Linked DNA regions of Mus musculus: all the other regions are reported to be linked to region 1. The links are microRNA targets in miRTarBase. Many come from high-throughput screens and were not tested one by one. Region 1 holds a microRNA gene; each other region holds the end of a gene's coding sequence. Distances are from middle to middle.

Region 1 (4,067 bases):
ACAGTGAAATTATTAAAACCATATGTTACATAGAGTCCAGTCATTTCCATTTTTATGAATTATCCATGTTATATATTAATAATTTTGGAACAAGTAGGACAATTACAAAAAGATCTTGTAGTTGGAAATTATACTGCCCAGAGTTAATTTTTTGAGGCTCATCATTTTGATGCATCACCTTCTAGACTTTTCAAAAATTCCAGTTTGGTCATAACAGATATACAATGATATGCCTACCATTATTTGACCTGGAGTTATGTTTAGGCATAGAAATGCATGTCGGTGTCGCAGACCCTGCCCTTCCTCAACAGCCCAGAGTGCAGAAGTTTGACTTGGACCCATGAATGTCCCATGGATATATATATATATATATATATATATATATATATATATATATATAAGCATTTCAAAAAAATTACCCTCTTTTTGAGATTATAATATAATTACATCATTATCCCCTTCCTCCCTCCAAACCCTCCCACAATGCCTTGTGCTCTTTCAAACTCATCGCCTCTTTTATCATTATTTATTGTTACACACATACACACATATTAGGAATGTATGTATGTATGTAGGTAGGTAGGTATATCTCTAAAAACATAAATACAACCTATTCAGTTAGAAACTATATCCATAACATCTAAACATGAGCTGAACAAGGGCAACACTAGACATGCTGAAGTAGGCAGTGGAAAGCCCTCCATCCTACACAAAGACCTACAAAATGCGGAGAACAGGAGAAATTGCTTATCCAATACCAAATGGACAGCCCTGGAAATATACATACAAGGGACATTATACACAGCTTGGCTTTTGCATATCAGAATGGTGTACAGGGGAGCTGGTCTCGAGACAAAGCAATGTTAACTGTAGATTCTGCTCTCTAATTTCTTTTAAGAGTGTATCATTTGTCACAGTGCTCTGCCAACTGCTAACTGCAGTATCGTTTGTTCTGTTGGTCCACTAAGAATGCCTGTTGAAAACACACAAGTGCTGCAAAACAGCGCCAGAAGAAGCCTTCACAACTCTGATTTCTGGGTCAACTGGTATTGGAACATGCTTCCTCGGGTGAGGGTTCTTAAGAAAAAAGATTGCTGGAAAGCGGGCACCAGAGTAGACAGAGACAGGCATGGGATGGGCTCCAGCTTCAGTTTTCTCTTTCAGTCTTGAACAAAGTACCGACCTCTTCTGAGCATCAGTATCTTCATCGAGAAGCCATGGGCAGCATGCATGCTTCTCATCTGATTAGAGAGTTGAGATGGAGATACATAGGGTGCTCCTGTGTGCAGCAGGACTCACTCATGACCTCGTTTCCTCTTCCCTTGTTTTTTACGAAGTCTGCAGAGAAGTGCCAGTGCCCAGATTAGTCAGTGAACGATGATAATGGCATGCTAATATTTATCCAGTGAAGCACTTTGCACAGAACTATTTGTATCATGTTTGTATAATTAGAGGAAACGCTTCTCATCATACATTATGATGTGAACTTTCCTTCCTAGGCTCCCGGTAATTAGATTTGGGTGAGGAAAAATTCCCCGAGTTGTAAAAATATACAAAAACTTTTCTCGAGTTTGCTTTGTGTTTTATATTTGTGACTAGAGTTTGCCATTTCTCTTTTTATTAGGTGCTCACCACAAGTATGTTAATGAGTGGAAGTAGTGGGTGAAAACTGGCGTTTGAGAGCCATGTTAGGTTTAAGCTGACATGAAATTCATATTTGGAGAAACAGAGTAGGATCCGAAGTGACTAGGTAGTATAAATGCTTCAGAAAGCCTCGGTATATTCCTTGAAGAAAATAGACAATTGGATACTTTTTGCTCTGGGCTGTGAAAACCCTTCTGAAGAATGTGGCATCTGGATTCTACTCAGCTGAGTCCACATGGGTATACTACTAGTAGACTTTACTACTATCTGGGGGGTAAGGTGGGGTTTGCAATAGGTGCAAATAAAACTTTATTGAAGTATTAAATGTATATATCACAAGAGAGTGCTTAACAGTGGGGTGGAGCAAAAAAAAAAGAGCTGAGAAATTTTCATGCAGAAAACTGAAGGAATTTAGTGAAATTCTTTATTTTTAACTCCTTCCCATGCTTGAAACAGGGGTCTCTAGTCTAGCCTGGTCTTGAACTCAGTCCTCCTGTCTTAACATCCTGGGTGTTGAGATTACAGGCAGTCACTACCATATTTATCTAAAGTCTACCTTAGGAAGACCCCTCTACTCCTGAAACAGTTTTAAAAATCTCCTTTATATTCTTATTACCTTCTCTTTAGTGTGTGTGTGTGTGTGTGTGTGTGTGTGTGTATGTGTGTGTAGTATATGTGCACACACACACATACGTACCCATGCATGCCATATCTCATCTCTGGAGATAATAGGACAACTCGTAGGAGTCAATTTTCTCCTTTACCCAGTAGTGCCCAGAGACTGATCTCAGGTTGTCAGGCTTGGCAGCAAGCACCCTTACCCTCTGAGCTGCCTTATAGGTGTGCTTTATATTCTTAATACTACTGAAGAGTGCAAGAACCGTATGTTTGGATGGATTGTCTACCAGCATTTATTATAGTGCCAATAAATGTGATTTCATTAAATACAATAAGGACTTTTTAAAGCACAATATTACTAATGCATAACACAATGTCCATTAGCCGCAGTGATGACATCATCTTGTGGCATGCAGCCTCTGGGAAACTCCACTGTACAACTGTGGGGCAAGAGCGAAAATAGCATTTGATGTCATTGTATTAATATATAAAAAGGGCTCCAGAGACTCAGAGGACCTCGGGCATCTCTGAGGACAATTGTAGTGGCTTGTAGTCACTAGAGAGGTCACGCTGATCTGTCCTTCCGTAACCCATCACTCCATTCCAGGATGAATGACATTATTCACAGGGTTAGAAATGAAGAAGGCAGAATTTCACAAGTGGCTCGTGGCCGAGATTTGGTACTGCAGGAGCACAAGAAGAACTACAACAACAGAAGCATTTCATTTGCCATCACTGTGTATCTTTGCATAAGTATTTTTTGCACAAGTTAGGTTAGATCTACATCAAATGAAAAGAGTGGATGTATTTTAGTCAAACTGTGTTAGGAACTTCTGGCCTATAATAGCAGCCAAACATGGGATGTGTGTGCAACCTCCAAACTGGGAAACACTTAAGAGGTGTTTCCTTGAGCTCCTGGCTTGCTTGGCTAGGGCAAATATGACGAGGAGCCTACCAGGTGCTCTGCTCAGAGCTGCAATGGGGAAAACCCCATCCAAACGACAGCAGAGCACACTCAGCTAGTAACAGCTAGCTCTCATTAGCCCCTCACCCGATACAATTAACAGAAAAGAATGAAAGACAGAATAAGCTTAGGAAACAGGTAAAGGGTGGTTTAAGTATGGTCTTAATTCTTTTGAGACAACCATCCCTCCTCTCTCTCTCTCTCTCTCCTCTCCCTTTTTTCCCTTTAATGTGATGTATTTATTTTTATTTCATGTGTATGGCTGTTTTACCTGCATACATGTCTGTGCATCATTTGTGTGCTAGGTGACTGTGGGTGGGAGTCAGTCTCAGTCTATCTAGATTTACAGATGGGCTGAGCTATCATACTGGTGCTAGGAACCAGATTAGTGTCTTCTGTAGGAACAGTGTGTGCTTTTAATTCTGAGCCATCCTGCTAGCCCCACAAGTGCCCCCTTTAAAGCAAACATCTGAGAGTGGCCACAGATCCTTTGAATATTTTCCCTAAATTCACACTGGAGGAGCCACCTTAAAACACAAAGTCTCCTGCCAAGTCTCTCCTCTGGATTGGCCCTGCTGGATTGGTCTAGTCAGTTCCCATCACCATTGGCTAAGACATCTGGCCACTAGGACGCAGAGCACACAAACATTGTCTTTGCAAAAGCTCAGTCAGCGTTGCTGGGACGCACCTTCACCCTGACCACCAGGAGCTTATTTCCCCCATTGATTTGTCTTTCCAGTTTCCTGTGGCTTTAGATCTTTTCTTTTACTCTTTAATGAAAATCCACACGAATGAGACCTTTTGCTTCTAAAATGCTAAGTTGTTGTTATTGTTTTTTGGG
Region 2 (4,067 bases), not on the chromosome of region 1:
CCTCAGGTTGCCAGGCCTGAAGCACCTTACCCACTGTGAGGCTTTGTATGTGCTTGGGCTAGGGAGTGGCACTATTAGAAGGTATGGCCTTGTTAGAGTAGGTGTGTCACTGTGGGTGTGAGCTTAAGACCCTCATCCTAGCTGCCTGGAAGTCAGTCTTCCTCCACTAGCAGCCTTCAGATGAAGATGTAGAACTCTCAGCTCTGCCTGTACCAAGCATGTCCAGATACTGCTCTGCTCCCACCCTGATGATACTGGACTGAGTCTCTGAACCTGTAAGCCACCCTCAATTAAATGTTGTCCTTATAAAAGCTGCCTTGGTCATGCTGTCTATTCACAGCAGTAAAACCCTAACTAAGACACTCACTGAGCCATGCCTCTGGCCCCCCTGCAGGCTTTACTGACAACGGTTTAGGAGAGAAATGCATAAACGACAAAGTTCAGCCTGGCTAGGGATTTTAAGGCTCAGACATTCGCTGTGGACTTACCTGCCCTTACCTATCTTGTTCCCTTTTGTCTTCTCTCCATCCTGAAAAGCCAGGCCACTTCCTGTTTGCTTTCTCTAGTTCGGGCACCTTCTAATGCTGCTCAGTTGACTCTATCTATGTGGACTTGTGGATGTACCTGGAAAACCAGCTTGATCAAGTATATGGTACACAGAATATTGAGGTGTCCATGGTCCACAGGCAAGGAATCCCAAGTGGCTTCCCGATGGAGCCGAGAGTCTCCCTGGTCTTCCTTTCCTGCTTCTGGCCTTCTCTGACATTCAGCTCTACCAATCACCTCAATAGTCTGGCTGGACTAAGCCAGAAATGGGCCAGTTAGACAGCATCTACAGAGCTGATGGAGTGTTTGCTCTGTGCTTCCTGATGAATTCTTTCTTGCCACTGTGCTGTGCCACTGTGGTGGGAGGATGGGGTTAACAACGTGAACTTAACCTGCCTTTCACGGGGTTTCTGCTGGAACTATGCTGAAACCTCTTCACTGGACCTCCAACAAAAGCGCAATCTATGAAGAGTCTTGAGAAACAGTGCTTCCGAGGTCAAGTCTCCACTGCCATGCTGACATCGCCCTCTGCAAATCTCTTTTTTAAAGTTTTTTGTTTGTTTGTTTTAAATCATACACACGTGTGCGGGCGTGTACATGAGTACAGTTGCCCAGGGAGGCCACAAGAGTGTGGTGGATCCCTGGGACAGTTGTGACCACGCCTGATGTGGATATTAGGAACAAAACTCAGGTCTTCTACAGGAGCAGTGCACACTCCTAACTGCTGAGCCCCTTTCCCAGCTTACTCTTACATTATTTTACATTTATTTTCTATTGAGTACTGATGACAGTGGGCTCCATTCTTCTATGGCTGTCTCTAAGACCATATGATCGCTTTCTAACTTCCCACACATATCAGACACCAGGATTTGTTTTTAAAGGACATATAAAATTAGCACTAAAAAAATAAATTTATTTTAAGTATGAAATAATGAAGAACAGGCACATAGAGAAATTATAAAAGTAGCAAAATAAGAACAGGAATGAAGACATTAGACATAGGTGCCATTCCAGTTGCTAACATAAACATTTTCAAAGATATTACTCCAACAATCTCAATAGACAAAAGCTATGTCACAACATTTACAGATGCAACAGCTTCTGAAACCATCTGATGAAGGCAGACACAGGTGATGATAATTACTACTTCTATACCCATGACATAGAATTTTATCAAATTCTTATCTGATGTATTACCCATACATCCACTTAAAATACTGAGAACATCATCGATTCATTTTGCATTATTACGTCAGACTTTATCCCTTTTCTAAACAATAAAAAACAAAACAAGAATATACTTTTCAGACATTAAGTATTCCAACTTTTATCTGTAATTTGTTCAAAGCTTCAGGAAGTAACATGTATATGGTCTTGTAAACAACACTGTCAATTTAGAAACAGAAACAGCTGGGGGAGACAGTGCATTTTTGGTCATTTGTAACCTGTGACAGAAAAACTAAAAGAAGTTGCTGATGATACAGATTCTACCTGAACTATTACAGACTGACTAAGGAGTTAAAAACAGAGCTGAAGTTCTCTGCCTCTACATAACCAATCACAATTGTTTACTCGAACTAGATTACTTCCTTCCTCCTTCCTTCCTCCTTTTTGGTTTTTCAAGACAGGGTGTAGGTGTGTTCCACCACTGCCCAGATTGCAGTTAGATTTCTAAATTCCTGTGGTACCATGATTTGGCCTACTTCGTGATGAATGACAATATTTTAAAAAGATCATTTAGATCAGTGTGAATGCATTATTTCATGGATCAGGAAAATGTTGCCGGAGAGGGTAAATGATGTGTCCAGAGTTACCAAGGCAGAACATGCCCAGGACACAAAACCAGAATTCCTGATCCTGAGTGATACTAAGTTCTTTCAGTACATTTTTCCAATGTCAAGTTCCACATAATTTATAGTAATCTGATGAAACAGAATATAATATCAAGATAAGTCAATGCATATTTTGCCTAAATCAAAGTTGCATTTGCTTCAACCATATTCATTACATGATTACTTTTTCTGTGTGCATTTTATATTATGTAAATTTTTTGTAAAATTTTCAAAATCACACTATGTAAATATTATGATTGATCAAATGTCATGAATGTAAGCTTAAGAGTCAAAACATCAAAGACATTTAATTCTCACTGTAAACAAGACACAGTGGTAGGCACTGTGAAAATACACTTGGTCCCACTCGCCTTGTCCTGAGTGTGTACGAGATAGTGTCCACAGAGTACTGACTACACACACGGTGTGGTGCAGCAGAACCTGCTCCCAGCGTTCACAGGACATGTGCAAGGGCTGGTAGTCCTTAAAAACAGTGGTCAGACAGAGGAATGATCCTGGAAAGACAGCAGCTAGTATTTCAAGGACTCTCCACAGAATGGAGACACATGGGCTCTCTGAAGTTATCACAGACTTCCTTATCTTGGGCATCTTCGAGGCAAAATTAGATGTGATGTAAGAAATCACGAGCTAGCCCGTAACACAGATGATGAAAGTTTCTTTTAAGAGAGTGAAAATGGACAAAGGGCATAAAACTACTACAAGTTGTAGTACATTAATGTTTACCTGTATGAAGGCAGCACAAAGAAGATCTCAGATGATCTGTGTGTGTCTCAGCTACCTAGCTAACCAGAGTATAATGGACTTAATCTGTGCATAAAACCATTTTGTTGGTTTGTTTGTTTGTTTGTTTGTTTTTGTGGGACAGAACATGTCACAATACACAGGTGTGTAAGAGATGGGAATCTAACCCCAGCCCTGTCCGAGTGGGTCAGTGCTTCTCATGGGACTCTGCATTCACACTGTGACTCTAACCGTGACCCTGACATGGTCAGTACAGTCAGGTGACAACTGACTGGGAATGTACCAGATGTGTTTATGTGTGAATTGCACACTCTTATATGTCTTACAGGAACTAGACACCCATAAAAAAACAAAGCATCCTGAAAAAAAATGTCAATAATGTTACTTTCAGGTACACACTACACAACTGAGACTAGACAGGTTTACATGAATGGGAGTGCTAACACGAGGACATTGTAAGCACAATCGCTGATTAACACAAAACAAAATATTCAGAACTCATCCAATAATTTTCAAGTGCCTCACACCTCACACAGCTGCCCAAAGACGAAGCCACATGCCCATGTTGAGGGGCAGCCACACCGGCTTCTTCAGAGTGAAGATTCCGACTGTATAGACACCATCACTTTGGGTTTTGGATCTACCCGACTATCAACTGGTACCTGAAAAAAACAACTGACACTCAGGAGATGCAGCACACCCGAATTTCGCTACCTCACCGTCCATTGTTGACTGGCTATAAATGTTACTGATTAAACAAGAATGCTTTCCCATTTATCCCATCTACTCAGAGTACAGCCATAAAAGTATCTTACTTACAGCTTTAACGTCAATGTTTGTAAGCCCGGTGTTTATATTGTGCCTTCTCAGATCAGACTTGATCAACGCTAAAACAGAATTACCGAGAGTTAGTATAAGCGGATACCC
Region 3 (4,067 bases), not on the chromosome of region 1:
GCTCACACTTGAAGCTTAGCAGACAGATGTTTGGTCGAGTACCCTGTGTTAATGTAAGATCAGAGCCTCACCACAGGACTTTCCAGACCCTGAATAGTGTGGTGGGCTTCATGACACCTCCACAACCAGGTCAAGGGCTTATTCCAAACTCAAGGGACTGTAGGCCATGGGGTCTGGGAACTGCCAACCAGATGCAGGGCGAGGCCTGAGAGCCACCTGAGGGTTATGGGTACCAGTTTAAGCAGAGGTAATTATCAAGTCATGAAAATTAAAATATGCACCCCTCCACCTGCAGACTGGTTCACTGGCAGGACACAGGTTTATGATTTCATTACCAGGCACCACCTGCAGGGAAACTCTTGCAGAACACACAATGCTGTCTGTCATCTGCGTGGCAGGACTGATGACACTCTCCTCCTTAGATGGGGTATTTACCTAGGGTGTAAACCACCAGGTTCACACCCAGCCACACATCCCAATGTACTCCCATCACTCTCCTGCCTGTATGGCATTCAACTGACCACTCAGCCTCAGATGGGACACACCCTATTCTCTCTACATTCCTCTCCTCTGCTGTGTGCTTTAAGGCTTGGCTGGTGAGCAAGGTGAGATCCAGGGGCCCTAACTTGCTGTGTAACTGTCAGAAAGCCCTGTTTCCCTTTTGTGGGATGGGGCTGTTGAGCTGGATCAAGGTCTGGAGCTCTGAGCTGCTGTGGACGTACAAAAAGAACAGGACACTCCCAACTGCCATTAAAAGACACCGAGAAGACATCAGACCAGGACCTGGATTTTTTTTTTTTAATTAGACTAGGAAATATAATTTATTTCATAAAAATTAATCTTGTTACAAGAGGAATGCTAAAGACTATTTACAAGTTATTTACAGAATGGACGAACAGGGCCGGGACCGTCCCCTGCATATCAGAACCCACAGACACACAGCCATGTCCACACCCCGGCACCTGAGCTCCCACCCACTTGACCTCTGAGGGTGGGAGGAAGGTGCTGTCTCGGATGCCTGGGAGCCTCAAGATGGGGGACCAGAGAGCCCTGAAAGATCCAGGGATAAGAAGGGTCCCTGTCCCTCAAGGGGTATGGCCAGAACTCAGACACCTGGCCCCATTGAGAAGAGCAGAGAGGCACATAGGAGATACACCAACTGACTGTGACTCGGGGACAGCAAACAGGCACGCCCACCTCCAGTGGCACAAACCTGGGCACAGAGGTCATGTCCACATGTGGGGATAGGTGTGCGTGTTCTGGGAGGGGTGCCCTGATGTGCCAAGTTGAAAAGCACAGGCATGCACACACACACACACACACACACACACACACACACACACACACACACACACATGCTCCCAAACACACATACTACCCAAGATGACACAGAAATACCCTGCAGGACCCAGCAACGCCAAGCTGGCTAGGAATGGGAAGGGGAGAGGCTTCATCTCATTGGAGGCAGGAATGGAAACCCAACCCAACAGCCCTGTCTGGCTCAGCTCAGAGTTGGCTTGACCTTACCTGGGCTGTCTGGTTAGAGCCCTACCCCAGGCTCCAGCTCTAGCTTCTGTGCCCCAGATGCTGAGCACCTTCTAAGTAAGAGTCGGACTGTAAGCTGGGACTTGCTCACTAAGTGCTCCCTCAGGTCCCAGACAGGCAGGTTTCCGAGGACGGGCAAAGGAGAGAGCATGCAGACCACAATCAACTTGTCTCTACTCGATTCTCAGAGAAGCGTGGGAACCCAAGGGGCCTCGTGGAGCATCCCAGGATAAAAGGACACTTAAGCCCAGAGAAAGCAGTTATGTGCCTGAAGTCACACAGCACAGCTCCACCTTGGCTTCCCCCTTCTATGTGCGGGCTAACAGTGACCAGTGAGAGTATGCCCACAGGGATGAGCATCTTTGGCAGGAGGAGCTGAGGACTACTCTATGAGGCACTGTTCACCTAGATGCCAGGGGCACCTTGGTCTGTCTCAGAGCCCCACTTCAGGAAAACCAGGGCAGAGATGCTTGCTGGGTCTGTGGCCATGAAACCTGCCTCCTCACAGAGGCCCCAACTTTCAAAGCTTTCAGGCTGGTCAAGGGCAGTTCAGGGAAGTCAGCATCTCAATAGGATCAATACCAGTGATCCTAGTCCCTGTCACTGCCCGTGGGCTGAAAGGGACAAGAATTCATCCCTTCCACTGGCCCCATGGAACATCCCAGAATGCGCTGTGGTCAAGAGTGGGTATACAGCTGTCTACTTAGTTACCTTCATATCTCCTGACCCCAGTAGGGAGATCAGCGGGTAAAATGATGGCTAGAGGCACAGGGGTGCAGACCGGCTAGTGCCAGCTTAGACACAGAGCCACCCAGCCTCACCCAGGGAGAGAGCCCTCCCTGGAACACCCCCTCCCTCTCAGTAAGAGTTTTGGCCATCACGAGACCAGGAATCACCAAACAGACCTGAACAGTCTCCCAGAACCACAGCTGGACCCTCCAAAGCCAGAGGAGGCCACAGAAGGGCACCTGCAGGGGGCTCCGGAGAGGACGAAGGCCACCAGGCCCCAGCTTCTGCTTGTGACTTTAGAACTCAGGGCCATGGCTAAAACCCTGTCTCAGCTCCCTGCACAGCTGGGGAAACTGAGGCCTTGACATAGCAAAGCCTTTCCCTGTGCAGTCTCTTATTGACCACACCCACACACACATGTGTCCACAAGTGCACTCGCCTATGGCCCAAATCACAAGCATAGCCACTCTTAGCCACATTCAAGGATAAAAGGTTTTTTTTTTCCTTTTCTTACTTTTTTTTGTTTGTTTTGTTTTCTTAAAAAGGAACTATCCAAGTATCTGGATAATAAATCATTTGCGTTCCCTAAGAAACTGGGTCTTTCTTTGCCCTTACTGTTTTTGCTCTCTCACTACCTGAGTCTCGCTGACTTCTGAGGCTCATCCCCCACCCCCCACCCCCACTCCCCTAATCTTCCCTCTCTGCTTGTGGACAGGAAAAAGCAGTTTGCCTGAACTGAACTCGACCCGGGATAAGAGAGCGGTCCCTAGCCCAGGACCATGTGAACACAGAATTGAAACCTGTGGGTCCCCAAAGTCACAGGGCTGAGGGTGGTGTGTTGTCGCAGGGGAAAGCCTCTGGCTTTCAGCTGTCCCAGAGGCCTCAGCCCACCCCAGAGTGAGCTGGGGAAACAGTGGGCCAGAGGATCCCGGCCTCTTGGCAGTAGAGCACAGAGACTTTCTAAGGCTGGTGGTGGTGGTCTGAGGGTTGTGGCGGGGAGGGAGTTGAAGGACCATTCCTGCTGTGAGCCAGGAGTGGTGGAGGCTGGGCACCCCTGTGCAGAGGCTGCCAGGCCTCCTTGCACCGTCTCCTACTGATCCCCACAGGCCTGTGGTCACAGGCACTCAGCAATCGCCATCTGTGGCCATGGCTACCAGCATCTCACTCTTGCCCATCTCCTCCAAGGCACTGGCCAGGCTGTTGAGGTCCCCGTCATCCTGTTGCCGAGCTTCCCAGAGGTCTAAGATGACACCTGTGGGACTAGCTTTGGTGGCGAAGTAGTTTAGGTACCTGTTGGAAGGAAACAGAAATGTTGGCACCCCTGAGGTGACCAGCCCATGAATTGGGAAGACCCGGGTGATGGGAAGACTGTGGGCTCCAGAGTCCCGCAGCCTTGAGTCTTGATTCCTGGGTTCCCCAGTTGTAGACTTTGCAGCCCTAGGCAAGTCCATGTATGCTAAGACTCATCCCTTGGTCCTCTTGATCTCCTACTAGCGTGGTTTAGAGGTGGGGCTGAGCAAGCTCCTGCAACTTGAACCTCTGCCTTCATCAACAGATAAACCCATGGAGGAACTCAGAGTCTGTATGAGGGCTGGCAAGATGGTTCTGTGGGTAGTGTAGACTTGAGTTCAAATCCCTGCAGCCAACATGAAAACCATACGTCTATAAATCCACTGTTCCTTGAGCACGCCATTTCAGGGAGCTGGGAAGCACAGACAGGGGAAGTCCCTGTAAGCTCCTGGGCTAGCTTACCTGACACTCAGGGCAAGCAGAAGAACAAAGAGATCGGAGGT
Region 4 (4,067 bases), 69 Mb from region 1:
TATTTCACATCAAACTTACTGCAAAAGTTCTGTGCCACACTTAATTCAAATCAACTCCACCTAATGCTGGAAGTACTAAACATTTCTATTTTGAATGAAGCTTGCTTCTTCAAAGTACCGCTGAGAAGAACAACAAGCTGAGACAGATCCAGTTCAAAATCCTAGAGGCAGTGGATCCTACAAGAGACTTGTGATTTTTTTTCTTCCCTTTCCTATAATTGAAAAAAACAATTGGCTTTTTTTTTTTTTTTTTTACTCCAAACATGTTTGTTCACTGCAGAAATCAGTCTTTCAATCTCCAGTTGTGATTGTCACTTAAGGACAGACAAATGCCTAGATCCAGAGTCCTGAAAGACCCTTATTTCTTCCTGGTCTCATATTCATGAGTAACTGGAGTCTGCCGCTGACAGAAGACAGCAAGAACTTGGCTTTGAGGATTAGTCATAACACACCAACAAAATATTTATCTGCTCTTAAGCCCCAGGTCACAAGAATATGAGGACTAAGTATCTCTGAGAACAGAAGGAATACCACATACACATATGTGCACACACACACACACCCACAGGGACTATTGCATATTGTTTTGAGGTCAAACATTTAAAGGCCCTGTTCCCACTTCCACGTCACATCACTTTAACAGCATGCATGCAATAGTGACACTTTTCAAAAGGTTTATGAAAGATCCATTAGATCTACAAAAAACCAAAACCAGCAGGGACGGCTGGGCGAAGGTTTCTCTCAGAAACGGGTTTTCTTCCTTTGTACTTCCGGCCCAAGAGGCCAGGGCTCTTGAAGAAGCTAGCTGAGCCCTTCAGAGGTGTGAATCCTACTCAGGTCTAGGTTGACAGGAGGCTAATAACCATGGCTCGAGTGAAAGCTCTTCACACTGTCTAGGTCTTTTTCCTTGAGACTCTGGTGAACCTGTCTTACTGATAAGTGAAGTCAGACAGAACGCAGAGGAAAGGGTGAGAACAGGGTAAGAAGACAGTTTCTGGGCTGCTAAGTGGTTTGTACCAGGTGATGTCTGCTTGAACTCTTTAAGGGGACATTTTCAGTGCCAAGCTCCCTGAGCCTTCAGTTCCTGCTATCTCCCTTGGGCTCCTTCGCTGCTTCCCTGGCCTCACAGGCACTGATCTACACTACAGGTGTTGTGTTAGCCTCCTTAAGGGCCGTTTTACTACCAACTGACCCTGCAAAATTCCCATAGGTGGGAAAGAAAAAGAAATAGTTTTGCCTTGATTTGTTTCTTAATTCTGTCCGACTTTTTATTGTAGAAAACACACTGCCCCTTAAAGTAACTAAAGAAAAGCGGTACTCACTCTGTCTCTTTACAAGTGTTTCCTGGTGACAGGGGCAGCATTCCCCAGGGTCAGGGGCCAGGACAGGGACAGTGCTGGTGAGCTATCAGCCAGCCCTTCTAACTCTCTCCTGCATTTCCAGATGAGGCCATCAGCACCCACCCCTCTATCACCACAGCCTCACCCGTCAGAGAAGCATCAGCCTGAGTGAGAGACTGAAGACAGCTTTCCCCACCCTTCCATAGCTACAACTTTGAGGGGTCAAAACTTAATGCACAAACACAGATGATCCCAGCTTAGACTGTTAACAGGAAGTGTAGATACAACAATCCTACTGGGAAACAAGCAAGGCTTTTGAATCCTCCTGGGTGGCCCACTTCTAAATCAGCACTGAGGAAAAACAGAAAAAATAAATAAAACCTTTCGACATAACTGAAGGGCCTTAGAGTTGATGAAAAACCAAGATGAGGCCTTGGCTTTCAAAATGGAACACTATTCAGAAAGCTGACTGGACCACGAGGGTTCTCCACAGAGTCTCAGCTGAGGGAGGTGGCTTGGGATGGCTGAAGCGGCATCTCCCAGGACTCATGTACCAAGGCATTGAGCGATCTGTACTCCCTGCAGGACAGAAACCTCCCCATCTTCCTATTCACCCTTGTGATAAGAGGCCTCAGAGGTGTGCAGAGGACTTGCTGTGCCACCCTCATGTGGGAGAGCCAGGAGGTAGGTGAACTGACCAGCAGGTCCCTTTCAATGTGGCTGGCTCATCTCAGGAGACAGGAAGGCTCTCAACCAGAAACAGTGCCTAATGATTGACTTACATTTATCTGTAAAATGGAAGTGTCAAGATACTGGAAAAAATATTTCCTTTCAATCCTGAGTAGGTTGGAATACTTCTCAGTCAGTGGTTATCAGTGACCCCATTCCATCATCAAACACATTTAAAGGGAAGAGGCGAAAGAAAAAAATACTTTGTTAATATTTGGTGCAAAGAGCAATACTGTGCACGGTTATGAACACCGAGGGTAGTTCCTTGCCTCACACATCTTTAATGGTAGGGAAACCTCGCATGAGCACCCAGTGAGCCTGCATGAGCATCCAGTGAGTCTGCATGAACTTGTGTCTAGAGCTGTGCTTGGGTAGCGAGGTACACATGGCTGGCCATATTAACCCAAGACTGTAGAATTGCCTAGACTAGAGAAGAAAAGCTTAAGAACCATTTGTCAAAAGCCTGAGGTCCTTTAACAGCCTGTTAACATGGATGGATAAGCTTTTTTTTTTTAATTAAAGAAAAATGTAGGCACATAAAAAAAAAATCTTTCAGGGATGAAAGATACGGAAGTTTTCCCTAATTCCAAACCTATCTACAAACTGAATGCTCTGATAAAGAAAAACCGTAAACAGGCTCACACAGCCAATATACAGGACCAAACTGAAACAAAAAGAGCTTCATTTTCCCCTAGATGTTAAAATAAATTGTAACACACTGGGTTAGGCCTTCGCTGAGCTAAAAAGGAGACCCTGGCACCTCTAGTCTCTCAGGAGAGTCTAATCACACAGACTTTTCAGAAGGGTCCCTTGCCCAGTGAGTTTTGCATTACTGGGCCATGTATGAGATCTGAGGGGACTTATTAAATTGGGTACATAAAATGAAGAGGGTTCTTGTGGGGCATCTAGTGTCATATAAACACACAGGAGATTGTGTCACATAGTGTGGGAATACAGAATCAGTCCATGCAAGGAAAGCCACCCTGCACTGAGGCAGCTCTAAGGAGGGCAGCAGCCTGGCACACATCTCACCCCTGGACACCAGTGGTCCAGAACCTCTGCCCAACAAAGATCCTAAGAGTTTGCTATTCTCTCACTTTAGAAAAAGAAGCTTCTGGGATGCCCATTCCTGTGGCCACTGCTTCCCAGTCAGGCCCTGGCGACCACCCACAGGCAGAGAGAACCTGTACAGCGGGGCCAGGAGACTTCCGGTAACCTTTCTCTCATATGCATATATATGGTTTTGTGTTTCTTAAAATAAACTCCGTGAACTCATAAAGCTCTCATCTGCAATCAAATGCAAAGCAGAGCATCCTATCAGAGGCTCTGACACACACAGCAGCCTCAAAACAAACCAGCCTGCCAGCCTCAGAGGAGGCCAGCTCAGTTCAAAGGCAAGGGAGATGCTTCTCCAGAATCCTTGGGGGCAAGGCGTGACGCCTTCCTCAGATGGGCTTATACAGCAGCGTGGTGACATACTTCTTCTTGTAGCGATGGGTTGCGCTAAGGACCATCACACTGTCCTGCAGAGAGAGAAGCACACACAGTGATTCGTTCATCTGGGTGGCTGCTGGCTCTTCCTGGCTCTCAGTCTTTCACAGTCACTCACTGTTGGGGCAAAACACCCCATCAAAACCAATGTAAGGGAGAGAAGGTTTATTTCTGGCTCACAGTTCTGGAAGACAGTCCATTATGCCAGGGAAGCCAACACGTCAGGACACTGAAGCTGTTGAGCACATCCTACGAGTGCACATTTGTGTTCAGCATGCTTTCCCCCACTTCATCCAGTCCAGGATACCCTGGCCAGGGAATGGCCTGCTCATTTAAGATGGGTCTTCATATGCCAATTAACATATTCAAGATAATTCCCCATAAATGTGCTCAGACTCATAGCTCTGGTTGTCCTAATTTTTTTTTTCAAGTTAATAACACTAACCAACACATTTACTTTTAAAGAGACAACTTGAGACAAAAGAGGCTGGCTTTGCTGTCAAATCT
Region 5 (4,067 bases), not on the chromosome of region 1:
TTAATAGTAATGTTAAAAATCGTGCTATGGTGCTCGCTTCGGCAGCACATATACTAAAATTGGAACAATACAGAGAAGATTAGCATGGCCCCTACGCAAGGATGACACGCAAATTCGTGAAGCATTCCATATTTTTTATGAATTTCCTAGGCAAATGGTTGGACCTGGAGGGCATCATCCTGAGTGAGGTAACCCAATCACAAAAGAACTCAAATGATATGTTCTCACTGATAAGTGGATACTAGCCCAGAAGCTTAGAATACCCAAGATATAAGATACAATTTGCAAAACACATGAAACTCAAGAAGAACGAAGACCAAAGTGTGGACACTTTGCCCCTTCTTAGAATTGGGAACAAAACACCCATGGAAGGAGTTACAGAGACAAAGTTTGGAGCTGAGACAAAAGGATGGACCATCTAGAGACGGCCATATCCAGGGATCCATCCCATAATCAGCCTCCAAACGATGACACCATTGCATACACTAGCAAGATTTTGCTGAAAGGACCCTGATATAGCTGTCTCTTGTGAGACTATGCCGGGGCCTAGCAAACACAGAAGTGAATGCTCACAGTCAGCTATTGGATGGATCACAGGAACCCCAATGGAGGAGCTAGAGAAAGTACCCAAGGAGCTAAAGGGAACTGCAACCCTATAGGTGGAACAACAATATGAACTAACCAGTACCCCGGAGCTCTTGTCTCTAGCTGCATATGTATCAAAAGATGGCCTAGTCGGCCATCACTGGAAAGAGAGGCCCATTGGCCATGCAAATTTTATATGCCCCCGTACAGGGGAACGCCAGGGCCAAAAAGTGGGAGGGGGTGGGGAGGGTATGGGGGACTTTTGGGATAGCATTGGAAATGTAAATGAGGAAAATATCTAATAAAAATATTAAAAAAGAAAAAAAAGTTAAAAAAATCGTGCTATGTTTACTGTAGGTTTATTTCTTTTTTTTTCTTATTCTACTAAATAGTATGAGATTAATTTAATGAAACAAAAACTGTCCCAGTATCTTTCAATTAGTGTGTATAATACACAATGACACCTCCATCAATACACACACACGCGTACACACACATGAGCTGAGTCAGTGGGGAGTGTGTACTGCTCTTCCAGAAGATTCAATTCCCAGTGCCCTTGTCAGGAAGCTGACAATTTCCTGCTAACTCCAGCCCCTTCTGGCTTCCACAGGCACTATACTCATATGCACAAACCCACCCTCACATATACACAATCAAAAGTAAAAATGAAATCTTTAAAAATTAAAAGTCCTCTTTAAAGAAAAACAGGTAAGACAGTGACTCGTCCCTTTACCACTGCCTTGACAAAGTCTGCAAACGGATGACCGTGCTGAGATAAAACCTATAATCATGCACTTTAAATCAAAGCCACATCACTAATTGTGGCTCTAGCCAACTTATTTTGAGCATCAAAGGTCTCTTTCCTCTCAAATTTCTAGCACCCCAATCACACCCACCTCCTGTGTTTGTGGGGGTACACGGCAATATTTTGGGAGATGTTTCCTTAATCGTAAACCACTATCAAAACAGCACTTTTATGAAGAAAAAAGAAAAAGGAAAAACCAATCGGACAAAGTATATTGAATGCTCAGCATATTATCATCTCTGTTGTTTATACGATTTCATGGGAAGGCCAAATACATCTTAAAGGAATAAAGAAAACATTCAGTGTCTAGTAACATTAAACAGTTTAACATTGTTCCATAGAAAACTTGTATGTTTATGTAGAACAGGTCAGTCCTGAGAAACAGCGTCAGCTCAGAAGTTCATGTCCCATCCGTCCTCCTCTGTGAGACTGCTCTTGCTGAATCCATACCAGACATCAAAGGTTAGCAAGGTGTGCATTCTGAAACTCTAATTAGACCTCCATACTTCATCTAAGGCTACATACAGCTTAGAGTAACAAAGTTTTCACATGGTGTTGTAAATACTCTGAGGTAATATAGTAACGATTTAATTTGTTCTTGGCTGTATGTTGGCTCCCAAACAGTGCCTGTTTTTATCAAATGATGTCACCCGAAAAGAATGATGTGAGGAGAAGGAAGGCAAATACTGTTCACAATAAAATTTAAATCACTCCAACGTGTGATGTAATGAAGGATGTGATTTCTGCCAAGTCCTCAGATACAGGGATGGCTGTAATTCCGGCCAACATGCAAAGCACCATGAGTGTCATAGCAAGGGCCAGGGTTCCCAAGTACCTTAAAGAAAGAACAGTCCAGCTGTCTCATGGCCTATCTGGATATAGTTCTATTGAGGAATGTGAAGTTTAAAATAGACACCACTTACTTTAATTCTATCAGAAATATACTGTCTTCAAAAACCTGTTTCTTAAAATACTCATGTACTTTATTTCATAATTAAGATTCTCTCATGGTGTTTTCAACCTTATCCCATAGAAAATAGATTTCAAAATTTACCAATGACTCATATATAAGACTGTGTGTGTATGTGTGTGCACACACACATATATACACACACAGACATACATCACAGAAATCTAATCAAAACTGGCTTTATATATTCATATGAGCAAACACATGTGTAATATGATGCTACAGGAATGGTATGAAATTGTTCTGCATGTGTGAAAAACAAATTCTCTGAAAACATTCTCCTTAAAGAGGAAAGATAAAGAATTATTAAAATAGTATTAATTAAAATTTTTATAGTTACAAATACCGCCAAATATCGCAAGATAACTTGCCTTTTTACTTCTAATGACACACATTTAATGGAATGTACAGGAATGCTTTAAGTCACTTGCCCAGTGCCCTGTATTTGTGCTTTGATTTTACACGAGTGCCTCACTGAAGCCTCCCCATCACTTAAGGTGACTTTCCTTTCACATTTTCAAGTTGCTTCACAAGTTCGGTAGGGTCAAGAGTTTTCCATTTGTAAACTCAGTAATTATATAATTTATTAATCTGATTGGACTTTTTACAACAATTAAATAATTATAGATTAAGTACATAATTTTAATAACATCTAAAATGTAAGCCTACTTTTCTTTTACATTAGCCCTAAAAGTATCTTTTTTTTTTTTTTTTTGTAAATAATAGTAAATTATTAACAGAGAAATAAATTCAGCAATCTGCATGAGCACAACAGGTCTTCGTTTTTCTTGTAAAAAATGCTTTTGATGAGACACTGAAGTTAGGAACTGACATTTCTCATTAGGCATGTAACTGTGTTACAGTGTGCGCAGCCTTCACGGGGCCACCCAGATGACTGTACCGCTTGCGCCCAAGGTTTCCTCCACAGGGTTTGGAACAGCCGCCACTTCACCACTCGCTTTATTTCATGTAAAGGAAAACTTCCCACTAACTGGTTACATCCTTCTGTTAAACCTAGCCGTCCTTCTCCAGCGCTCTAGCCCCGGTTCTCACGGCCACGGCAGCTACAGGCCCATCCTCTTCATTTGATGGAGAAGCTCATCTCTGGCCGAGTGAGCCTCCGCGAGCTCCATTTTAGCTTGAGCTAGTCTCTGCCTGAGACATTCGTTTTCCTCCATGAGCTGAAATGACATTTGTAAAACAAGAGGTTTTAATCACTTCCCAAAAATGCAACTATTTTATGTAGCATCACTTGGGATGGTAAACCACCCAGTGCTGGTGAGGGTCCAGTTGAGCTGAAAACTGGGAAGCAATTACTATGCAAGTAACCGTGTTCCTACATTTTGACCCAGTAATTGAAAATACTAATTAACTTCTCAGTTCCAAATTTAAAGTGATACTGTGTCACCGTACTACACTGGGGCCTCTGTGTCTTCAGATGCGCTGACCTTCCTTCTCTGTCATAAGCCTCCATCTTTTTGCCTATACCAGCCAGTTCTTTCAATTTGCCACCTCCCCACCCACTCCTTTTTCACCCCTCCTGGGACCCCTTCAGTTTTCAAATTTTATTAGATCTCACGGTTTCCCACTTTCTCTTTTACCTAAGTCACTCTCTTAGGTGACTTTCACTAGTCCCATGATACAACTAGCTCATAGACAAGAGACAGCCTGGCCCAGAACAACCCTCTCCTCGTCTTTAGACTCACG
Region 6 (4,067 bases), not on the chromosome of region 1:
GTGAGGCCTCTGTGTGTGTGCGGAGGGGGAGGGGAGGCGGGGGGGACATGAGAGGGAGGGGCTCTGCACAGCATGGTGCTCACATCTCCTTGATGACGGCTAACAGGCAGAGCAGCTGATGGAGGAGTGGAATGAGGACCTGGATGGCATGGAGGGCTTCGTGCTGGAGGGCCGCAAGTTCACTCGACTGCCAGAGGAGGAGTTTGGCCACTTCTACACACAGGACTGCTATGTCTTCCTCTGCAGGTGCCAGAGCAAAACCTCAGCCTCTTGTTCTTTTCCCTGTGCAACCCTTGCTCACCACTGTTTGAATCGCAGGTACTGGGTACCTGTGGAGTACGAGGAGGAAGAGAAGACAGAAGACAAGGAGGGGAAGGCCTCGGCAGAGGCCAGAGAAGGGGAGGAAGCAGCAGCGGAGGCAGAGGAGAAGCAGCCAGAGGAGGACTTTCAGTGCATCGTTTACTTCTGGCAGGGCCGGGAGGCCTCCAACATGGGCTGGCTGACCTTCACATTCAGTCTTCAGAAGAAGTTTGAGAGCCTCTTCCCTGGCAAGCTGGAGGTGTGTATTCACACAAGCCCTGAACTGTGCCCCATGGCCTGTGCTTGGGATGGTAGTATGATCAAACCAGGCCTGAGGGAGCTTGGCCCTTGGAGGCAGGGTCTAGGGAACTACCCAGCACTTCTGATCTCCAGGTAGTACGTATGACACAGCAGCAGGAGAACCCCAAGTTCCTATCCCATTTCAAAAGAAAGTTCATCATTCACCGAGGCAAGAGGAAGGTGACCCAGGGTACTCTTCAGCCGACCCTCTATCAGATCCGCACCAACGGCAGTGCCCTCTGCACCCGGTGGGTACCTGGCTTGGGGAGGGGACAGGATTCCATGGTGGAGGTAACACTGCTGACACCACCACCCCCTCCCCAGGTGCATCCAGATTAACACTGACTCCAGCCTTCTCAACTCTGAGTTCTGCTTCATCCTCAAGGTGAGGCTGTGGGCAGGACAGCAGAGCAGGGTGGTGGGCAAGAATCAAGCTGACCCAAGCACTTGTGCATACCCAGGTCCCCTTTGAAAGCGAGGACAACCAAGGCATTGTGTATGCCTGGGTAGGTCGGGCATCAGACCCCGACGAAGCCAAGCTGGCAGAGGACATCCTGAACACTATGTTTGATGCATCCTACAGCAAACAGGTGACAGAGGTGGGGGCAGGCAGGAAGGGAAGAGCAGATGAGGGCCCTGGCTGACCAGCCCTTCTCACAGGTCATCAATGAAGGCGAGGAGCCAGAGAACTTCTTCTGGGTAGGCATTGGTGCACAGAAACCCTATGATGACGATGCGGAGTACATGAAGCACACGAGGCTCTTCAGGTGAGTACCCCTCATCCCTCCCCTAGCTTCTGTGCACACACGGGGACACACAAGGCCTATGACAATGACACAAAGTACATGAAGCACACAGGGCTCTTCAGGTGGATCCTTCTAACCTTGCCCTTCACCTTGGCTGTTGCCCGACAGGTGCTCCAATGAGAAGGGTTACTTCGCAGTGACTGAGAAATGCTCTGACTTTTGCCAAGATGACCTGGCAGACGATGACATCATGCTGCTAGACAATGGCCAAGAAGTGAGACATTCTCCCACCTCAGAGCCTGCCTTCTGGATTAAGATGAGACGCTATAGCTGGGAATACTGGGGCCAGGGGCAGCCTTCCCACCAGCCACATGTGGAGCACTGAGCATCATATACAAAGGCCCTGGGCTCAGTTGTTTTTTTTTTTTCAGAGACAAGGTTTCTCTGTATAGTATTGGCTGTCCTGGAATTCACTTTGTAGACCAGGCTGGCCTCGAACTCAGAAATCCGCCTGTCTCTGCCTCCCAAGTGCTGGGATTAAAGGCGTGCGCCACCACTGCCCAGCCTGGGCTCAGTTTTTTTTTAAAAGCACTATAAACATCAAAAGGGCCAAGAAACCCATGTGACCATTTCATCCTCTGTATCCTCAGGTCTACATGTGGGTTGGGACCCAGACAAGCCAAGTGGAGATCAAACTGAGTCTGAAGGCTTGCCAGGTAAGAGATTACTGAAGCCAGCCTGACGGTTTCAGGAGCCACTTGTCCCTCCCTCATCCTGGATAGACGTTGAGGAAGGGGCACAGTGGTCAGTCCAGCAGGCCTTAGAGGACTACCCAGGCCCATTGTTTTTCTTACCAGGTATACATCCAGCACACACGCTCTAAAGAACATGAGCGGCCACGTCGCCTGCGCCTGGTCCGCAAAGGTAATGAGCAGCGCGCCTTCACCCGCTGCTTCCACGCCTGGAGCACGTTCCGCCAAGCCCCAGCCTAAGCAGTACCTATGACCTCAGACTCCAGTGAGGAAGAGGAGGACTCCTCGTACCTGCTTCAGCTAGCCACAGCCTGCAAGCAGCACACAGCCCCAAGCCCCACCAGTGTGTCCACATGTGTGCAGATGTAGTTTAAAAGATATTAAATGCTTTTATTTTCAATATTAAAAAATCAGTACTTTTAATATTAAAACAACTAGTTTTTAAAAAAAGACAGAAAAGCCGAAGGTGGCATCTACAGGGAAGCCCATCCTCACTGCCGCACACACACGTGCACACACACGCACACACACACCTCTGACTGACTTCAGTCATGACGCCCAGCAGTCTCTAGTCACAGGAGCACACAATACACACAGGCCAGGAGCAAGTACCAAAACTGCTTTAGAAATGACTGGCCAGCTCAGTCCAGGCGTTAGAAAAATACTCTGCTTGAGGAGAAAGGAAGTACAGTATGGAGTGCAAAAGGATGCTCGCACCCCTCCGGCTGAGCTTGAGGCTGGGATGTGTTCAGGGCCCAGCATCAGTCAGCGGGTCCGTGTTAAGGGGCAAGGCAAGACCGACAGATGGTGACGACTAAGGGGAGCAAACCCAGGTCATGCCTGCCTGCGGGGTAGGCAGCCCCTTTCAGTGATGGCCCAAGATGGGCTTGCTGGGGAGCTAGGAGGGTACCAAGTAGAAGAGGGTATGGTTAGTTATCTATGCCCAATGTAGGCTGCAGAGGCACTAGCTACTAAGGTCCAGAGAGCTCCAGTCTCCAGCTAGGCTGGGTCCATAGCAAGATACGGTAGGGGCACATAAGGTCCATGTGCTGGCTCAATAGGCAGGACCTATCAGCCTCAGTGACTCTCCTGTGAAATGGGCTCTGTGGACTGGATAAGCATCAACTCCTACACCCACAGGGTCAGAGGTGGCCTTCTAAATGCACAGGATTTCAGTGCTGCCAGGCCAGGCCCTTTCATGACTGTGGATCCCCTATGCCTGACAGCCAGAGGAAGGCAGCTAGGCTTCGAGGAATGACACCATTAGAGAAGCCTGCAGGGTTCCAGCTGGAGTGAGGGATGGCAGCTGCTGTGTGGTAAGGCCAGGCTGCCCCACAGCACCTCATTTAATCAGAAGGGTGTAGGCCCGACAAGCATCATCTGCCTCCAGGTTCCGCAGGTTCTTCTCAGAGTCCTCAGGAGAGCTGGGGAGGGCAGTAATCAGAAGGGCTGGGGTAAGAAGACCCCTAGTTGCCCTGGGGATGGCGGCTTGGGAGAGCAGCTGGCCTCACCCCAGAAAATCCTTCACATATTCCACGGTGACATCCCCTGTTGTGTCCAGCATGGTATCCCCACTAGCAGCTGAATCAATGGACACAGGCGAGAGAGCGGCCTCGGGTGGTTCCATGGTATCTGTTGGAAGAAGTGCTGCTCAGTATCTACTGTGCACCTAGAGACCAGGTACTAACGACAGAGCACACAGGACACGCATGTGCACACACAGGCGCCCTCCAGCCCTGGCTCAGTGGAACCTGAGCTTACGTCTTAACCCCTCTCCCTCAGGTACCCTCAATGCCTGCCTGCCCCACCCCTGTGCCCTCTCACCAGCTCGCTTGCTGTGGGCAGAGCTAGGGCTTCCTTCGCAGCTCTCTGGGGCCAGAATGATGTCTCTGGTCCCATTAGCCTGGCTCAGCTTGGGTGACTCTTGAAGCCTGTGAAAAAGATGGGAGTGTGATGGAGACTATTACAG
Region 7 (4,067 bases), not on the chromosome of region 1:
TTTGTACATCAGACTGACCCCTCACAGAGCTCCTCCTGCCTCTGCCTTCTGAGTGCCACCCACATGGCTTTTGTTTGTTCTTTTTACATCATATGTAGTGTTTACTAAAATGCCTTTGTGTCAGAAATGATAGTCAAACCAGGACAGTGCTCCTGGGACAGGAGAGGTGTAAGTGGGAGGTGTAAGTGGTAAGAAAGTCACATCTTTATTTAGCTGGATAACATTGATTGGGAAGTAAGTCATTTATGTTAAAGGTTTTTCCTGGTAATTGCTTTTAGATTTGCTCCCTGAGACCAAACCCTCCGAGTCTTAGGCTCTCTCAGAGCTGATTCCCTTAGGCTGGTGCAGCATACAGGACCAGTAGAGTTCCCAGGTCAACCTTGATCACCTGTGTTTCTCTCTCGAAACTCATTGCAGATTGCCGTTTACATTTGTAACTAAAGAAGTAGCTGAAGCCACGTGTAATTGCCTTCTTGCCCAGGCAGAGCAGGCAGACAAGAAGGGGAAATCAAAGGCGGCAGCAGAGCGGATGATACTTGAGGAATTTGGACGATGTTTGATGAGCGTCATCAACTCTGCAGGAAAAGCCAAAAGTGACCCCTGTGCCATGCACTGCTAACTCTTGCACAAAAGACTGAATGGAACTGTACAGAAAATTTAAGGTGCCGGGACACTTGATTTTCTAGAAGATAGCTTAACAATTACTGTATTTTAATTCAGCCTTTGTTTTAAGAGATCTGAAACTATAATATTGAAAGAGAAGAAATTAGTACATTTAAAATCTTAGTTAATTCTGCCTATGCCCCTTCTAAATTTTTTTCTTTAAAAATTTTTCTTTTATGTATTATATATTTTTTTAATTTGCTTGGGTTTCTTAAGAATTAGATGTTCTGTCCTGATTCTATTGACAAAGAACATTCATAAATTATAGTGATATCATTTATAATGTATGGTGTTGTATGACTTTGTTCAGTAGAAAAGGCCAAAGTAGCATGGGTATTACCCATTCTTTGGTTACAGATCCAGAGTATTCACAGGTAGAATGTCCGCATAACCAGATTCTAAATGAAATATATTTAGGAGACATTTTGTTTAGAGAAACACCATCCTTAAAAAAAAAAAATCAGATTTTTAGAGTGGATTCTGGAATGCTGTCTGCTGTCTCGTTGGGAGTATCAGAAGGGGAAACAATCCCCACCACACTTTTCAGTATAATACAAACATTATGCTTTCTTTAAAGAAAGCAAAATATTAAGGGGCAGTAATTTTCAGAGGACAGGCTGTGTCTCTGATGAGGAATGGCTAACATGGTCTGGGGCGTCTTCATTTTCTCTGAAGGAGGTGGTATGTTTTATAATAATTGTCAAAGTGATTATGGCTAATTACTAAAATATGAGAATGAATTACATTAAACATTTTGTGTCATGATGACAGAACTCATACGCAGTAAGTCTGAAGTCTGGCTCGCTGGAGACGCGAGGACTCAGAGCTGGGAGGTTATGTGTGGTGGCGCTTTATGCACACACTTCTCTGCAGACCTTCTGGACTGAGTTCAGTCAGTGTGTGACTCCTACCTGGTTTACTGAGATAAACGCGCCTCCTAGCAGCTTCTAGAACTGCAGCCAGCTTTTTATAAAAGAAGTTTTAATACAACATTGTTTAAAACAGTGATTTGGTAAGCTGAAGTATGTGTGCTCTTAGACTCGCAAAAACAACCTCTATATTCTTCAGTAATTAGAAACCGTGTGAACTCGGGAGCCTACTATAATAGGACTTGAGTTTATGACAAGCAGAAAACTAGGTTGGAATTGAAACATTTTGTAAGGTACCTTAATCCTTGGTAATTATTAGCATATGATTATTGCCCTTCCTACAAGGACTCTAGCATTGTAAGTAGTAAGTATGTATATATGTTCATATGAACATGAAAGATATAGACAATAGAAATTAACCCCAAGAGGATTCCGTTACTCATTTAAGTATCCTCCATTTAAAATGGTTTTATAAGATGACAGTGCAGTAACTTTAAATGTAGATAATGCAGGCATCCTTAGCACCTCGGTCTAGAGTTTTTAAGTAAACTTTGTACAAATGTAAATTAGTCTAAGAGGACAAAATAATATCTAATCAAGTTATTTTTCAAAAGACTGCAATAAGTTTTTGGTCTAAACCTAAACTTTGTTCATTTTGTATATATTATGTGTTAATTCTAATAGCACCATTGTGATGTGTATTTATATACAGTGTGCACAAAATGTTTGTGAATTTTTTATTATAATTGTAGATTATGTATGATGGCATTGCTTAAGATTGTTTTGCTTGTAAGAATTTGAAGGTGCAATCAAAGCTACGAGTTTGGATTTTTAAGAAGCCTTTAACCTATCAGCCCCTTTCCTTCTGTGTGGTTCCAACTGAACAACTTTTTGTATTAGGCATTTGCATCAAATTGCTGAACAAAGTTAATAGCCACATTAAATCACCAATTTCAAAAGATTATTTGGGGAGGGTTTGGTCTATAATTTTTAAGCCCTATTTACATCCTAAGGTAGAAAGATTATATTTACTAGAGCTATTCAAAAAGTACACTTTTCTATATTGTAAAAGCAGGGCAGAAGAATAAATCATACAGAAAATAAACATTTATACTATTCTGTAAAAAAAAGTTTTGCATTTTTTCTTTAGTTTAACAATACCAGTTTTAACCATTTGCCATGCAGGGAGCCTTTTAAGTCACCTGATTTTCAAGTTCATTTGACTTCTGAAAAAATTTTAAAGATGACATTGCCAATTCCTTAATGTGAATTGCATTGAAATGAGACTATGTCTGCTTTTCCACTGCTAAGGCAGAAATGCCTCTACTTTCTTTTAGCTACATGAAGCACTCTCTCGCGACTGACTACTCTTAGTTCTTGTGGCTCTGAAGAGGTCAAAGCAGCCTGTGGTCTTATCTGTGAGAGGGAAGGGTAGGGTTGTAGGTACTCCCGTGAGCTTAGCCCTGGGTGAGGAAGGACGGTGGGCCGTGTAGCCTCACCGTCTTTTGATACTTCATAACTGAAACTGCAGTCTTATGTAAAATGTGAATAAAAATAGCTTCAGAAAGGTTTCCATTTTTGCTGTGTAATGCTGACTAGAAAGGAGGTCTCATTGGGTCATTGACGCTTACCTGCAACCTTCAGCTCCACCTCAGGGCAGATGGATCCCTTAAACATCCTGATGTGTTTTGGGTTGTGCAGATGAACTCTGGACCTTGGGTAGCCCAGCAAGCACTCTGTCCCTGCACTGCGGCCATAGCCCTGTCGTAAACACCTTACACAGTGTTTCTGGACCATCCACTCCAAGCCCCAGAACCAACTAGACTTTTCTATTGCAGTACTTCCTCTTCTTCCCCCTTCCCCCTCTTTTCCCCCTCCCCCTCTTTTTCCCCCTCCCCCTCTTCTTCCTCCCCTCCCCCTCTTCTTCCTCCTCTTCTTCCTCCTTTTAATTATTTCCCTTCTGTCGGGAACTGAGGCTAGGACTTCATGAATGCTGGTTAAGTGTTGTGCTGTTGAGCTCTGTCTCCCAGTCATAAAGTTGATTCCTATTATATAAAATATTTAAGCTCCATCTCCCAGTTCTTGTAACAGTTTCTTTAATACTTAATCTATAGATCAGATGTAAGGTTTTTGTTTGTGTATTTGGGTTTTCTTTCTTTTCTAGTTTCTGGACAGTGTCTTCCTAGGCTGGCCTCAAATTCCTGATAGTCCTCCTGCCTCAGTTTTCCATAGTGCTAGGGGGAATCATAGATATGTGCCAGTCACCTTTTTTGTGTGGTTTGGTACTTTTGAGGCATTGGCTCATGTAGCTTGGGTTGCCAGAGGAAAGGCTTCCTCTCTTCTACCTCCCATTCCATGACACGGGTGCCACCATACTCAGTGTCTTGTGGGCTGTAGTTCTGGGGCTTTTGTTTGTTTGCTTTTAGAGATTTATTTTTAATCTTGTGGCTAGGAGATAAGGGGAGAAATATGTGAATGAATCTGAACGTCACCTCCCCTCAACCCAGAGCTGCAAGGTCCCCTGCAGCTGAGGTT

Evidence for each region. Region 1 holds the annotated microRNA mmu-miR-466q (GUGCACACACACACAUACGU, at 2,320-2,339, shown strand). A microRNA usually pairs through its seed, bases 2 to 8, with sites in the 3' UTR of a target mRNA and lowers its output. Matches are read on the target gene's strand: a 7mer-m8 pairs with bases 2 to 8, a 7mer-A1 pairs with bases 2 to 7 and ends in A, and an 8mer does both.
Region 2: miRTarBase lists Flvcr1 as a target of mmu-miR-466q. Seed matches in the 3' UTR shown: 8mer at 3,444-3,451.
Region 3: the mRNA of Unc5b is a reported target of mmu-miR-466q. Seed matches in the 3' UTR shown: 7mer-m8 at 1,303-1,309.
Region 4: the mRNA of Prkab2 is a reported target of mmu-miR-466q. Seed matches in the 3' UTR shown: 7mer-m8 at 546-552.
Region 5: miRTarBase lists Uhrf1bp1l as a target of mmu-miR-466q. Seed matches in the 3' UTR shown: 7mer-m8 at 2,481-2,487.
Region 6: the mRNA of Llgl1 is a reported target of mmu-miR-466q. Seed matches in the 3' UTR shown: 7mer-m8 at 2,609-2,615.
Region 7: the mRNA of Lin54 is a reported target of mmu-miR-466q. Seed matches in the 3' UTR shown: 7mer-m8 at 2,244-2,250.

Annotation. Positions count from the first base shown.
Region 1 is chr3:28,417,669-28,421,735 of GRCm38, forward strand. Mir466q (microRNA 466q) reads left to right here and starts at 2,275; the gene lies at 2,275-2,350. All of the region lies in intron 2 of Tnik (TRAF2 and NCK interacting kinase), which reads left to right.
Region 2 is chr1:191,004,409-191,008,475 of GRCm38, forward strand. Flvcr1 (feline leukemia virus subgroup C cellular receptor 1) reads right to left here. Exons shown (of 10, transcript NM_001081259.1): 9 at 3,960-4,027; 10 at 1,424-3,802. The coding sequence ends at 3,731. Among named protein-coding and RNA genes, the nearest start is that of Gm31373, 14 kb to the left of the region's middle.
Region 3 is chr10:60,761,810-60,765,876 of GRCm38, forward strand. Unc5b (unc-5 netrin receptor B) reads right to left here. Exons shown (of 17, transcript NM_029770.3): 17 at 785-3,564. The coding sequence ends at 3,399. Among named protein-coding and RNA genes, the nearest start is that of Slc29a3, 11 kb to the left of the region's middle.
Region 4 is chr3:97,669,253-97,673,319 of GRCm38, reverse strand. Prkab2 (protein kinase, AMP-activated, beta 2 non-catalytic subunit) reads right to left here. Exons shown (of 8, transcript NM_182997.2): 8 at 237-3,592. The coding sequence ends at 3,515. Among named protein-coding and RNA genes, the nearest start is that of Gm31242, 9.3 kb to the left of the region's middle.
Region 5 is chr10:89,817,409-89,821,475 of GRCm38, reverse strand. Uhrf1bp1l (UHRF1 (ICBP90) binding protein 1-like) reads right to left here. Exons shown (of 21, transcript NM_029166.2): 21 at 1,607-3,541. The coding sequence ends at 3,425. It overlaps Gm26180 (a small nuclear RNA gene), which reads left to right and starts at 30; the gene lies at 30-136.
Region 6 is chr11:60,712,584-60,716,650 of GRCm38, reverse strand. It overlaps Llgl1 (LLGL1 scribble cell polarity complex component), which reads right to left. Exons shown (of 21, transcript NM_001159404.2): 20 at 3,923-4,029; 21 at 2,465-3,730. The coding sequence ends at 3,606. It overlaps Flii (flightless I actin binding protein), which reads left to right. Exons shown (of 30, transcript NM_022009.2): 22 at 107-246; 23 at 319-559; 24 at 694-848; 25 at 925-985; 26 at 1,062-1,190; 27 at 1,261-1,367; 28 at 1,515-1,620; 29 at 1,997-2,062; 30 at 2,204-2,508. The coding sequence ends at 2,338. Among named protein-coding and RNA genes, the nearest start is that of Flii, 13 kb to the left of the region's middle.
Region 7 is chr5:100,440,628-100,444,694 of GRCm38, reverse strand. Lin54 (lin-54 homolog (C. elegans)) reads left to right here. Exons shown (of 13, transcript NM_172714.4): 13 at 418-2,662. The coding sequence ends at 619. Among named protein-coding and RNA genes, the nearest start is that of 5430416N02Rik, 13 kb to the right of the region's middle.